2 linked regions of the Stegostoma tigrinum genome follow. The protein of the gene in region 2 purifies or fractionates together with the protein of the main gene of each other region. This does not show direct contact. Links are inferred from orthologs where the notes say so. Each region holds a gene or a part of one and is shown on either strand. Other genes may lie near its edges.

The links. The genes of interacting proteins can lie anywhere in the genome.
Region 1: the proteins of sec16a (region 2) and protein transport protein Sec23A purify together in Homo sapiens (affinity purification with mass spectrometry; 3 studies listed by BioGRID and IntAct, with this or other methods). This does not show direct contact. The link is inferred for Stegostoma tigrinum from reciprocal best matches to the Homo sapiens genes SEC16A and SEC23B.

Annotation. Positions count from the first base shown.
Region 1 is NC_081362.1:40,470,988-40,478,219, forward strand, and holds the start of protein transport protein Sec23A, read left to right. Parts: upstream 1-3,854; 5' UTR 3,855-3,969; intron 3,970-3,975; exon of another isoform or gene 3,976-4,158; intron 4,159-5,520; 5' UTR 5,521-5,571; coding exon 5,572-5,574; intron 5,575-7,232. UniProt on the Homo sapiens protein: Component of the coat protein complex II (COPII) which promotes the formation of transport vesicles from the endoplasmic reticulum (ER).
Region 2 is NC_081382.1:42,911,133-42,918,442, reverse strand, and holds the start of sec16a (protein transport protein Sec16A), read left to right. Parts: upstream 1-3,982; 5' UTR 3,983-4,084; intron 4,085-4,118; exon of another isoform or gene 4,119-4,188; intron 4,189-7,310. UniProt on the Homo sapiens protein: Acts as a molecular scaffold that plays a key role in the organization of the endoplasmic reticulum exit sites (ERES), also known as transitional endoplasmic reticulum (tER).

The sequences.
Region 1 (7,232 bases), on a different chromosome or scaffold from region 2:
GCGTTTGAGCATTGTCAGTAATGGGAGTGGGCCATTGCCAGAGTGTGGTAGTAATATTGCAAAGGCCGCTGAGCAGGATGAACCATATCATGTGTATGATCATTGGTGGAAGTGCAGGCAACTGGGGACTGTTGGGATTGGGGTGTGCCTTTGTTAGGAGGGTAGATAAGGGGTGTGAACATTATAGGGTGCAGTAGTGGTGAACTTTGTTAAGGGGTGTGGGAGTTGTGCTGGGTAACTGATGAGGAGGTGTGAGCAATGTCAGGTAGAGTAGAATCTTAGAATCTCTACAGTGTGGAAGCAGGCCATTCAGCCCATCAAGTCCACACTGGCCCTCCAAACATCATCCCACCCAAACCCACCACATCCCCATAACCCTACATTTCCCATGGCTAATCCACCTAGTCTGTACATCCCTGGTCACTGTAGTATAGTAGGACTGTGGGAGGAAACTGGAGCACCCAGAGGAAACCCATGCATACGCGAGAAGAATGTGCAAACTCCACACAGAGAGTCACCTGAGGTTGGAATTGAACCCTGGTCCCTGGTGCTGTGAGGCAACAGTGCTAACCACTGAGCCACCGTGCCAGCCCAAATCAAAATAACATGATACTGATTGATAATTCCTTTAACAAATTTCTGCAAAAATCTCTGAAGATGAATCATGCACAGTGTTGTAAGACAAAATAATATGGACTTTTAAAAAAACATACAACTTACCCTTGCCAAATTGAAGAATCACCACTATGCAGCAATTCATCTTTTTCATAATTGTCTATGGCAAGCTTGCAGGCTAGGTTTGCTTTTTGCCAAGCTGTTTGGTTGCTTAACATTTGCTTGCAGTTGGTTTTGTCAGGGATTCAGGAATAAACATTGTCAGTTGTGTAAAATTGCGTGCATTGTTGGGTATAGAAAATGCTGGTGTGTTTGAATGTTAATGGAATGGGATCCGAGTATTGCTAGATGTGGAGCAGAAAGTAGTGCATTGGTGTGAGCAGTGAGAGGGACAGGGATCCTGTGACTTGTCAGGGGTGCAGTAGATTGAGCATTGTTGTGGGAGGCACAGCATGGGTGAGCATTTTCAGTGGATTTGGGGACCACAGGATTTTTTTAGGCCTCCCCTAAACAGTTCCTTCCATCAATCACCAAATTATACCTGAAATTAATAGAAAGGTGGGTAAATATCTGAGTATGTATAAGGCTGAATGTTCATTGTGAGACCCCATCAGAAATGTCTCAATGTAATTCTTCCCATTGGAAATTTGAATTTCCTGAGTAAATGCTCCATATTTACATTTTAGCATTCTCTTTTACCTTTAGAAAAACTGGATCTGTGTTCAATCTAACTGAGGTAATACTAACTTTTGGCTATGTAAAATGAGGGATATTGTATTGTTCATCTATTATGCACACCATCCAATTTTCCTTTCCATTATAGTAATGGGAGTGTGGAATGAGCAGCAATTGGATATAGCTCTTTGTCTTGTGGTACAGCAGGTAAGATCCCTGCTTCAAAGCTAGAACTCCAGGTTTGAGTCTAATTGGCCTACTGTTTGCAGTTTTCCACCTCCCTCCTTTCTTGCACACTGCTGTCACACTTGCTGCTTTTGAAATTGTTGTGAGCTTTCTAGAATCTAGGGAAATCCTACCTGGAATCCAGCAAATATATGGAAAGAACTCTGAAACAGAAAAAGAAGCAAACAAGATTTCTTACCCCTCACTCTAATCTGGTCTAAAGATGTTTAATGTTGAGAGCAAACAAGACATCTTTGAAGGATAATGAAAAGTAAGGGAAGGTAAGGGGTACAATTAAAAAGGAAAACTTTCATTTTGATAGTCTTTCACACCCCTAGACTATCACTAAACATTTTACAATAAATTTAAATAATTTTGTAATCATTGTTGTAATTTCAGAAGTAGGGAATGTATGAAAGAATCCTAATGATAGAGCTGCTGACCCCCTTCTAAGAAACTTCAGCAGGGAGAAAAAGATAAGTTTGAAGGTGACTACAGCTGACAGGAGAGAGAACATAGAATTGAATGGGTATCTCAGCAATGAAGAGATGGGTAGTGATGCAACAAGTGGTTGGTGGGAAAGACAGTCACCTGAGAATGTTAATGAATAGGCAAAATGTTAGGGGTCACGATACCAAATAGATGAGACTAAATATGATTGTTGGGGTAAGGAAACTTCTCATATTTATTCTAAAACTTTTATTAGCAATGTTAAAAAAGTTGATAGTTATTATCTACCTCAGTTGCTTTTCAGAACGAGCCATTATTTATGCCATTGCATGAAATGGTACAAGTATTCATAAACTACAGTTGGGTGTGGATTTCCAAGATTTTGAAAATGCTAATGAGGAATATTATTTCATAGAACCTCTACAGTGTAGAAACAGGCCCTTTGGACCAACAACCCTCAGAGCATCCCACCCAGATCCAACCCCCTCTCACCCAACTAATCTAAACATCCCTGAACATTACAGGCAATTTAGCATGGCCAATACACCTCGCCTGCACATCTTTGAACTGCAGGAAGAAACTGGTGCACTCGGAGGAAATCCACACAGAGAGCTGCCTAAGGATGGAATTGAACTAGCATCCCTGGCATTGTGAGGCAGCAGTACTAACCACTGAGCCACCATGCCACCCATTAAGGATGTTGAATCTGGGAGCAAAACTCAACATGATAACGCTCCTGCACACTTTGTCCTTTCCAATGATGGAAACTGAATTTTGAAAATGCTGGCAAAGAAGCTGTGGTGACTTGTCGCAGTGTATTCTTTGGGTAGTAAATACTGAAGTAATAATGTACTGCTGGTGAAGTTAGTAGAGGCTTAAATATGTGTAGATTGCCAATCAGACTGCTCTGTTGAGTTATTTGAGTGTGACTGCAGTTGCACCATCCAGACAGTAGAGAATATTTCATCATCCTCATGACTTCTGTTGGTGATGCTTTGAGAAAAGCTGAAGTGTGTCACTTGATGCAGGACAGCCAGTTTCTGTTCTGAAACTCCATTTTCTCTCCACAGATGCCTGAGCTGCTGAGAATTTCCAGAATTTTATTTCAGTGCCACCACCCCTTTCCCACCCCTCATCAATCTTCTGACCATTTACGTGGCCGTTCCTTTTAGTTTCATCAATAGTTCCCAGGTTTTTGATGTTCAGGTGATAATTTTGTTATGAAGATTAATTTCTATTACAAACAAACCCTACTGTTTCTATGCAAACACTTGAACTGTCCCCAGAAGCCTCTGTAGATCAGGTAGCAGGAACAAGTGAGATTCTGAGGTAGCATGCCAAACATCATCACCATATTAACATTGTCACAACTGAGTTGAGGTGATCATGAAGCCAGAATGCCAGACACTTGCTTCCCAACATGATTATTCTACGCGAGCTTTAGTCTATATAGCGGTCTCCTGGTAGTGACTGCAAGTGATACAATGCCACACAGGTTTCACTTGGAAATTTGGATATTGACCCGAATCTAGCAGCTTACGTTTGATCATTGCATGTTATGGGGCAGCCAAAGGGCCAGTCGACCCAAAACATTATCCCTACTTTCTCTCCACAGATGCTGCCAGACCTGCTGAGCTCTTCCAGCAATTTCTGTTTTTGTTTCAAACACAGACGGGTGTGGCCTACTTCGAAAACTTCTTATCCCGTTTTATCACCTTTATTCCCATCAGCACCTTAAACAACATAAGACGATCGAAATAAACAGCTTCACTCTCCAAAATGGATACAGTCACTGAAATTCACGTGATCTCGATCTTGCCCCTTCCTAGACCCGTGGTGACGTGTTAAACCAGGCGCATGCTGAGCTGTACTTCCTGTCGTAGACGTCAAGAAAGGAAATGACGTAAGGCCGCGGAGCAGGAACTGGGTGGAGGAGGACGTGTTGTCAGGATCGGGATTATCGAGTGAAGGAGTCGCTCACTTTCGGGGCTTTTCGCGGACTAGGTGATCTCCTTGTGATCGTTTAGCACGCAGTGTCACTGGACATCAGTCCCGGTGTTCTGCTGATTAACGCTCTGCAAGTCACTGGCCGCAGTCATACTCAGGCTGATGTATAACTGTGAGGGATGGTGGTGCTGCTGCTGGTAATAGGTGTCATTGGTTTGGGTTCGTTGACACTGTCTTAATCGGCAGGTATATACTGGGGGAATTGCTAGAACTGTGAGTGATGGTGAGAAAACGGGTTTCATTGGAATTGATCTTTGGCAGAAGGTCGGGTTTCTAAGAGTCGTAGAGTTGTACAACACGGATACAGACCTTTGGGCTCGATTCGTCCATGTCGATTAGATACTCTAAATTTATCTAGTCCCACTTGCCAGCATTTGGCGCATATCCATCTAATCCCTTCCTATTCATGTAGCCATCCTGATGTCTTTTTAATATTGCAATTGTACTAGCCACCACTTCTTGTGGCAGTTCATTCCATACACACACCATTCTCTGCATGAAAAAGTTGCCCTTCAGGTCCCTTTTAAATCTTTCTTCTCTCGCTTTAAACCTATACCCCCCCTAGTCCTTGCTTGGTTATTTATGATTTTGACATCCTTAGGATTGTAACAGACTGCTAATGGATTTTGAATGTGAGCTTGTCTTCTTTCTCAGCTTCTTCTCCATACAAAATTAACTGTCTTAAAATTTGTTTCTCACACTTGTGACTGTATAACGATGTATAACTGCAACTGTATAAACTGCAGTTAAATTACAGTTGAGAGACAACAATTAACAACATCCATTTAAATGCACCCATAAACTTTGTAAAATATTTCAGGGTCATTCACAGAGGTGTTCAACATAGAAAATTTCATTCTTAACTTAGCCAACAAGTCCCCTAAATCTGCTGGCTGAATTCTGTGATCTTAAAATAAGTGTATGTGTAAGTTGTAATCTTGCAAAATTTCCTGCAAACGTAGCATCTGTATTCAAGAGGAAAGCACAAAGCAAGAAACTATAGAACAGTTATCCTTATGTCTATCACTGGAAAAATGCCAAAATTCATCATTAAAGAATTCACAGCAAGAAGTTTAGAAAACTAAAATACAATCAAGTTGAATCAACATGGATTCAGGAAAAATAAATTGTTTGAAAAGAATTAGAATTCTTTAACAAACTTAATACGCAGGTAGATAGAAAGGAATCTGAAGATGTAGTGTATTGTAATATTTGCAAAGATCATTCAATAAGTGGCACAGAACTCATAATAATGAAAGGAAAGTACTGCAGTTACCAAAAGTCTGAAATAAAAAGAGAAAATGCTGGAGAAACTGGCAGCATTTGTGGAGAGAGAAATGGGGTTCACATTTACAGTCTGATCTGTTTCTTCAAAACAGTTTACAAGACATTAGCATGCATGTACAGCAAGTAGGTGAGGAAGGTAAATGGACTGTTGGCCTTTGTGGCAAGGGAGTGGAACATAAAAGTCGGGAAATTTTGTCACATTTACATGTGGCGTTGGTGAGACAATACCATCCACAGTTTTTTTTTCTGTCTTTATTTCAGGAGAGAGATCCTTGAATTGGAAGCCATACAAAAGATTCACTAGGCTGATTCATGGTATGAATGGATTTTGTCTTCAGTTGGGTGTACAGTCTTTGGAGTTGAGAAAAATGAGAGGTGATCTTGTTAAAACAAAAGATTCAGAGGATGTCTTAAGAATGTAGATATTGGGTGATGTTTCACTTCATGAGCAAATCTAGAACATACCTAAAATAAGTACCCTCCTGATTAAGACAGATATTTCTTCTGGGTATGATCAATTTTCGGAATTCAGTACTCTGAGAACATGGGGGCTAGCTCTGCAGAACATAATTAATTTGAGGACAGATTTTGATTTACAAGTAAATCCAGGATTATGGGGACTGACAGTAAAGTGGAGTTAAACTACCAACAGCAATTATCATCTTGAATGTTGGAGCAGGTTGAAGGAACTAAGTTGCCTGCTCATATTCTTTAGAACATGAATGTATCTTTTGAACAAACCACTATAAGAGGATCAAGCTTTTGTTTGACATTGATTACTGGACTACCCAAGTAGGTCTTCTGTTATGTGGCCATCCCACATTGGTTAAACTTTGTACTATGAACCTCTCTGTGCTTTGCGTGTTTACTTTTTTCATAAGTTTCTGATGTTTTGTGCTGCCATTGAATTTTCATGACTCTTCTGAGGCATTGTTGATGGAATTACTTCGGTTTTCTGATGCAGTAACTAAGTGTTGCAGCTATAACACGTACATAGGTAAGGATCTATATTTTATTTGTTGGCTTTCAGTTTTTTTGCTGGTTTACTAACACTAATCCCATAGGCCACACAGAACATTTCAAAAGCGTTCATGACTCAAGACAATCTGATTCACCTCAGTACTTTAGTTAGCTATCTGCTATAAGCAAGGTGTACTGTTGGTTATATTGGATCACACCCTAGTTGTCCACAATTCATTTCATTTATAGATATTTTCCAATCAGCCTGTTCACAGATGTTATTGTACACCTCTGGGTCAGATGGGATTTGAACTCCAATATCTTTGTTCAGAGGTAGAGACACAGGAGCCCCATATGACTCATCTATATGCATGTTTAAATTGGTGAGGGTACAATACTTAATGTGAATATTGATTTTTCAAGCGTTTAGCAAAATATCGCATATACCACTTGTTAGTAAAATTTGGAATAGTTAGAGGAGATGGTGTCACAATCAAAATTGGCAATTACAGAAAACAGTGAATGGTTGTTTGTCAATTTAAAGGATTCTACAATGGTTCCCCAGTGAGAAATAAAGACTGTAAGAGAAGGGTGTACCATTAGTGCCAACAAAGAAAGTTGAAAATATTACATTGAAATAAAAAGATAAGTAGCAGGCCAGAAGTGTCTGAAGATTATGAACAGTGTTAAAGAATTACTAAAAAGAAATAAGAGGAGAAATTAGAATATAATAGCAAGCTAGCTAGAATTATAAAAACAGATATTAAGAGTTTCTTCAGGTATTTAAAAAGCAATAAGAAGTAAAGGGAACATTGGTCCTCTATACAGGGAGAGAGACTGGGGTATTAATAGTGGAAAAACAGAAATGGTATATGATTTTTGTCTGTCTTCAATATTGCATCCCAGAAATAATTCTGAATCAGAATCTGAAAGGAATCCAGCAACTTAATTTCAATCACCAGGGAAAGAGTACTGAGAAAATTCTTCGAAAATTTGACAGGCTTCCTGGTCCT
Region 2 (7,310 bases):
AATGTCAGCCTTCCTGCTCCTAAGACGCTGCTTGGCCTGCTGTGTTCATCCAGCTCTACACCTTGTTATCTCGGATTCTCCAGCATCTGCAGTTCCCATTATCTCTGATGGACAAGAGATAATGGGAACTGCAGATGCTGGAGAATCCAAGATAACAAAGTGTGAAGCTGGATGAACACAGCAGGCCCAGCAGCATCTCAGGAGCACAAAAGCTGACATTTCAGGCCTAGACCCTTCATCAGAGAGGGGGATGAGGAGAGGGTTCTGGAATAAATAGGGAGAGAGGGGGAGGAGACCAAAGATCAATAGAGGAGAAGATAGGTGGACAGGAGAGTATAGGTGGGGAGGGGATAGGTCAGTCCAGGGAGGGCGGACAGGTCAAGGAGGCAGGATGAGGTTAGTAGGTAGGAAATGGAGGTGCGGCTTGAGGTGGGAGGAGGGGATGAGGTTAGAGGAAGAACACGTTAGGCAGGCAGGGACGAGCTGGGCTGGTTTTGGGATGCAGTGGGGGAGGCGGAGATTTTGAAGCTTGTGAAGTCAACATTGATACCATTGGGCTGCAGGGTTCCCAAGCGGAATATGAGTTGCTGTTCCTGCAACCTTCGGGTGGCATCATTGTGGCACTGCAGGAGGCCCAGGATGGACATGTCGTCTAAGGAATGGGACAGGGAGTTAAAATGGTTTGCGACTGGGAGATGCAGTTGTTTATTGTGAACCGAGCAGAGGTGTTCTGCAAAGCGGTCCCTGAGCCTCCGCTTGGTTTCCCCAATGTAGAGAAAGCCACACCGGGTACAGTGGATACAGTATACTACATTGGTGGATGTGCAGGTGACCATCTGCTTAATATGGAAAGTCATCGTGGGGCCTGGGATAGGGGTGAGGGAGGAGGTGTGGGGACATGTGTAGCACTTCCTGCAGTTGCAGGGGAAGGTGCAGGGTGTGGTGGGGTTGGAGGGGAGTGTGGAGTGGACAAGGGAGTCACGGAGAGAGTGGTCTCTGCGGAAGGCAGACAAGGGTGGGGATGGAAAAAGGACTTGGGTGGTGGGGTCGGATTGTAGATGGCGGAAGTGTCGGAGGATGATGCGTTGTATCCGGAGGTTGCTGGGGTGGTATTAGAGGACGAGGGGGATTTTCTGAGGGCAGTTATTGCGGGGGCAGGGTGTGACGGATGTGTTGCGGGAAATGTGGGAGACACGGTCAAGCTTGTACTCGACCACTGCGGTGGGGATGTTGCGGTCCTTGAAGAATGGGGCCATCTGGGATGTGCGGGAGTGGAATGCCACATCTTGGGAGCAGTTGCGGTGGAAGCAAAGGAATTGGGAAATGGGGGATGGAATTTTTGCAGGGGTGTGGGTGGAAGGAGGTGTATTCTAGGTAGCTGTGGGAGTCGGTGGGCTTGAAATGGACATCAGTTTCTAGCTGGTTACCTGAGATGGAGACAGAGAGGTCCAGGAAGGTGAGGGATGTGTTGGAGATGGCCCAGGTGAACTGGAGGTTGGGGTGGAAGGTGTTGGTGAAGTGGATGAACTGTTCGAGCTCCTCTTGGGAGCAAGAGGTGGTGCCGATACAGTCATCAATGTAATGGAGGAAGAGGTGGTGTTTGGGGCCAGTGTAGGTGCGGAAGAGGGACTGTTCCACGTAACCTACAAAGAGGCAGGCATAGCTTGGGCCCATGCAGGTACCCTTGGCCAACCCCTTTGTCTGTAGGAAGTGGGAAGAATTGAAAGAGAAGTTGTTGAGGGTGAGGACGTGTTTGGCTAGGCGGATGAGGGTGTTGGTGGAGGGGGACTGGTCGGGCCTGCAGGACAGGAAGAAGCGGAGGGCCTTCAGGCCATCTGCATGAGGAATGCAGGTGTATAGGGACTGGACGTCCATGGTGAAAATGAGGTGTTGGGTGCCAGGGAATTGGAAGTTCTGGAGGAGGTGGAGGGCATGGGTGGTGTCACGGATGTAGGTGGGGAGTTCCTGGACCAAGGGGAAGAAAATGGAGTCCAGATAGGTGGAGATGAGTTCAGTGGGGCAGGAGCAGGCGGAGACAATAGGTCGGCCAGGGCAGGCGGGTTTGTGGATTTTGGGAAGGAGAGAGAAACGGGCAGTGCGGCGTCGGGGGACAATGAGGTTGGAGGCTGTGGGTGGGAGGTCTCCCTTGTCCGCTCCACACTTCCCGTCCAACCCCATCACACCCGGCACCTTCCCCTGCAACCGCAGGAAGAGCTACACTTGCCCCCACACCTCCTCCCTCACCCCCATCCCAGGCCCCAAGATGACTTTCCACATTAAGCAGATGGTCACCTGCACATCTGCCAATGCGGTATACTGTATCCACTGTACCCGGTGTGGCTTCCTCTACATTGGGGAAACCAAGCGGAGGTTTGGGGGCTGCTTTGCAGAACACCTCCGCTCAGTTCGCAATAAACAACTGCACCTCCCAGTCGCAAACCATTTCCACTCCCCCTCCCATTCCTTAGACGACATGTCCATCATGGGCCTCCTGCAGTGCCACAATGATGCCACCCGAAGGTTGCAGGAACAGCAACTCATATTCCACTTGGGAACCCTGCAGCCCAATGGTATCAACGTGGACTTCACCAGCTTCAAAATCTCCCCTTCCACCACTGCATCCCAAAACCAGCCCAGTTCGTCCCCTCCCCCCACTGCATCCCTAAACCAGCCCAGCTCTTCCCCTCCACCCACTGCATCCCAAAACCAGTCCAACCTGTCTCTGCCTCCCTAACCTGTTCTTCCTCTCACCCATCCCTTCCTCCCACCCCAAGCCGCACCCCCAGCTACCTACTAACCTCATCCCACCTCCTTGACCTGTCCGTCTTCCCTGGACTGACCTATCCCCTCCCTACCTCCCCACCTACACTCACTCCACCTATCTTCTTTACTCTCCATCTTCGGTCCGCCTCCCCCTCTCTCCCTATTTATTCCAGTTCCCTCCCCCCATCCCCCTCTCTGATGAAGGGTCTAGGCCTGAAACGTCAGCTTTTGTGCTCCTGAGATGCTGCTGGGCCTGCTGTGTTCATCCAGCCTCACATTTTATTACCTCTGTTGGACAATACTGTTTTATGATAACAATAATAATGAACTATAATAATGGACAATAATGATTTACCATCCTGATTGACTGTTACAATAATAGTCTACTCCAATAATAACTATAATGATGGACGATACTGATGAATTGTATTCATACACGATAATCGTGAACGATGATGCGCTGGCGGACGCTGACCCTCACGCTCAACTCGACGCCCCGCCTATAACGGTGTGGGTCAGTAACGTCACGGCGCGGGGATGCGTGTGACGTCACATGTACACGTCGCCGATCCGCGGCCGGGGAAAATGGCGTCGCGAGAGTGCTAGAGACTGCAGCGGGGCCCAGTGTGTACACCTTATCGTGTATTCACCACCCTACAGCGTGTACAGGACCCTGTATACAGCCCCCTGAGTACAGGTGAGAGGGATAGAGACTGCAGCGGGGCCCAGTGTGTACACCTTATCGTGTATTCACCACCCTACAGCGTGTACAGCACCCTGTATACAGCCCCCTGAGTACAGGTGAGAGGGATAGAGACTGCAGCGGGGCCCAGTGTGTACATCTTATCGTGTATTCACCACCCTACAGCGTGTACAGGACCCTGTATACAGCACCCAGAGTACAGGTGAGAGGGATAGAGACTGCAGCGGGGCCCAGTGTGTACATCTTATCGTGTATTCACCACCCTACAGCGTGTACAGGACCCTGTATACAGCCCCCTGAGTACAGGTGAGAGGGATAGAGACTGCAGCGGGGCCCAGTGTGTACATCTTATCGTGTATTCACCACCCTACAGCGTGTACAGGACCCTATATACAGCACCCAGAGTACAGGTGAGAGGGATAGAGACTGTAGCGGGGCCCAGTGTGTACATCTTATTGTGTATTCACCACCCTACAGCGTGTACAGGACCCTGTATACAGCCCCCTGAGTACAGGTGAGAGGGATAGAGACTGCAGCGGGGCCCAGTGTGTACACCTTATCGTGTATTCACCACCCTACAGCGTGTACAGGACCCTGTATACAGCCCCCTGAGTACAGGTGAGAGGGATAGAGACTGCAGCGGGGCCCAGTGTGTACACCTTATTGTGTATAAACCACCCTACAGTGTGTACAGGACCCTGTATACAGCACCCTGAGTACAGGTGAGAGGGATAGAGACTGCAGCGGGGCCCAGCGTGTACATCTTATCGTGTATAAACCACCCTACAGTGTGTACAGGACCCTGTATACAGCACCCAGAGTACAGGTGAGAGGGATAGAGACTGCAGCGGGGCCCAGTGTGTACACTTTATTGTGTATACACCACCCTGCAGTGTATACAGGACCCTGTATACAGCACCCAGAGTACAGGTAAGCGGGATAGAGACTGCAGTGGGGCCCAGTGTGTACATCTTATAGTATACGTTCAGTGCACAGGACTACCGGAGCTCGTATGCAGGTGAGATGATAGAGGGATAGAGGCTTTGTCTCACACCAGTATGTATGTGTTATTTAATTGAAGGGAGAAAGACAGTGATAGATGGGAAAAGGAGGCGGTGAAAGTGTAAAGACTTCACTTCAGAGCAGTATAGAATAAGACCCTGTGTACATCCTGTACAGCAGCCAGGACCTGGACAAATGAAGGCGAGACAACGGAAGAGAGGTAGCAACCATGTCACTGAGCCTAATAGACAGGACCCAGACACCTTTTGAGGGCAGTTTGATGGTGTTCTGTTTGTGTTGATAGTGGGAAGCAGAGACAGAGAATTACAGGGCTCGTGTGTCAGAGCTCAGTGTACAGCATAGAGGTGAAAAGGAAAGGAGTGAGACATCCAGAGAACAGCTTACAGAGAGGTGAAGTTGAGCCCGGTGCTATGACAGATGAGAGAAATAAATACACAGATATTCCACAGACCCCAGCTCAGACCATACAGGGCACAGGGAGAGTGAAACAGCAGAGATACCCAGAGGATGGAAGGCGAACAGTCGCAACACATCTTAAAAGGTGATGAGGGAGGGGAGGCAAGTGGAAAAAGATATTTGTGAAGGAAGGTGAGATAATGTAGGGAGGAGAGAGACAGCCTACAGGAGGAGGGTGGTGGTGTGAGAAGACGCATAAGGATGGCAGTGGGAATAAAGTGGAGAGGAAAAGGCTGGGAAGGAGTCAACCCAAAGGAGGAGAGGAGTTGCGGCTTACCCCAACGATACTGGATTTGATTTTTTTAAAAAAAGGACAGAGAACTTTTTAAAAAATGCATTCATGGAATGAGGAAGTTGCTGGCTAGGTGGCATTTATTGCCCACCCGTAATTGCCCAGAGGGCAGGTGACAGTCAACCACATTGCTGTGGGTTTGGAGTCACATGTAGACCAGACCAGGAAAGGATGGCAGTTTCCTTCCCTAAAGGATATTAGTGAACCAGGTTTGGGTGAAGGAGGGGTTTACGATTGTGAGACAGGGAGGAGAGGAGCTTAGGAAAATGAGTTAGTAGAAGAAGGTGGCTGCCAACTGCATTTTTGGCACAGAAATACCATTTGTGGGCCTCTATTGTTTCTTTGTGGGCAACTTATACAGGATGTTAGTGAGGCTGCATCTAGAGAACTACCCACAGTTTTGGTCCCAATATTTATAAGATGATATACTGTAATTGGAAGCAATTCAAATGAGATTTACTGGGCTCATTCCTGGCTTAAAGAGGCTGACTTGTCAAGAAGGTGTAAACAAGTTACACCTTTCTTCATTAGAGTTTAGAAGAATGAGGGATGATCTTATTGAAACTTACAAGATTCTGAGGGGCAAGACAGGATAGACATTGAGAAGATGTTTTTATGAGTGAGTGAACCTCACTAGGGATTTTGGTACAGAATAATGGGTATTCATTTCAAACTGAAATGCAAACGATTTACTTCTCTGAATATAGTAAATGTCTGGGGAATTTTCTGCTGCAGGGAGTTGTGAAGCCTCAATTGCTCAAAATATTTGAACAGTAGGTATGTAGATTTTAGATGTATTGCAGATTGGAGAGCAATGAAAGCAGTGAGCTGATATGAAAGCAGAGTTGAGGCCTGGAACAGCCATTATCGTATTGAATGCAGGATCAGGCTTGTTTGAATGGTTTACTCCTGCTTCTATTTCTTATAGTTGTTAGTTTCGGTAGTTTGTGGCTCTGGAGACTGAATAGTGCAGTATTTAAGTGTGGCATCTGCCCTCTAGCAGCTTGTCCACATGTTAAATTGGTAATCTGCATTGAATTTTTGTTGGAGCAGGTCACTGTAGGTTTGCCCAGTGCTTGTGCCATTTCATTCCAGAGGGTTGTTTGGAAGCAGAAATGTTTCTTTTTTAATTTTAGCATTGCTACAACTGGCACCAATGCTAATGAAATGAAACTGTTGACAGTACGTTGCCTGTTTCACAGCTAGTCCCACGTAGACTGTTCATCTAAAGAAAGGAAGATGAACATTTCTGAAACACTCAGGATGTCACAAAGCACTTTTTGGATAGCAAAGAACTTTTTGAGGTGTTGTCACTGTTTTAGGAACCAAAGCAGCTAGCTTACACACGGTAAGGTGATTGTTTTCAGTGGCTCACCAGAGCAATCCAGTCTGAAGAGAATTGGCCAAACGGCCAGAGGGGAGGTGAGCAGCTACTTATTATGCGGAAAGCTGTGCTTGAACAGGTAGTGGATGCAGGTTGAACAATAACTTTTGAAAGGGAATTGGATAAATATCTGAAAAAGAGAAGTTTGTGGAGGTGGAGTTGATCTAGTTTGTGGAGGTGGAGTTGATCTAGTTGGATAACTCTTTCAAAGATCCAGCATTCAGGCCTGAATGGCATCCTGTTATCTGAGCTTTCTGCCTGAGGCATGAAGACACCATTGTTCGTTAAAGTTTGATGAGGGAATCTTTGCAGAGCATTAGGGTCAGTATGAGAGTTCAGTCAGGATCAGACTGGCGAAATATCTAAGATTTCTTCTGTTTCCTGATGCCATCCTGTAGAGCTGAGAGAAAATGTTTTGACTTGAGACTGGAACAGATTTATTTCAAAACCAGTCTCCTGTGCTATATTAATTTATCTTGGTTTTAAGTGTAACTAATGTCAGTTAGTTAGATGACGACAAAGCCAAGGAATACAAACTGAGGAAAACCCTCCAGTCGGCGTTCACCTCACTTCAGCTCTCAAATTACTCATTACTGGCTTCCAAATTTTTTTTTAACATTGTTTTCGAGGGTTACTGACTTGTTTACTTTTGTGGGAGGCTCCCTCTTTGAATTCAGCACAGGGTCTTC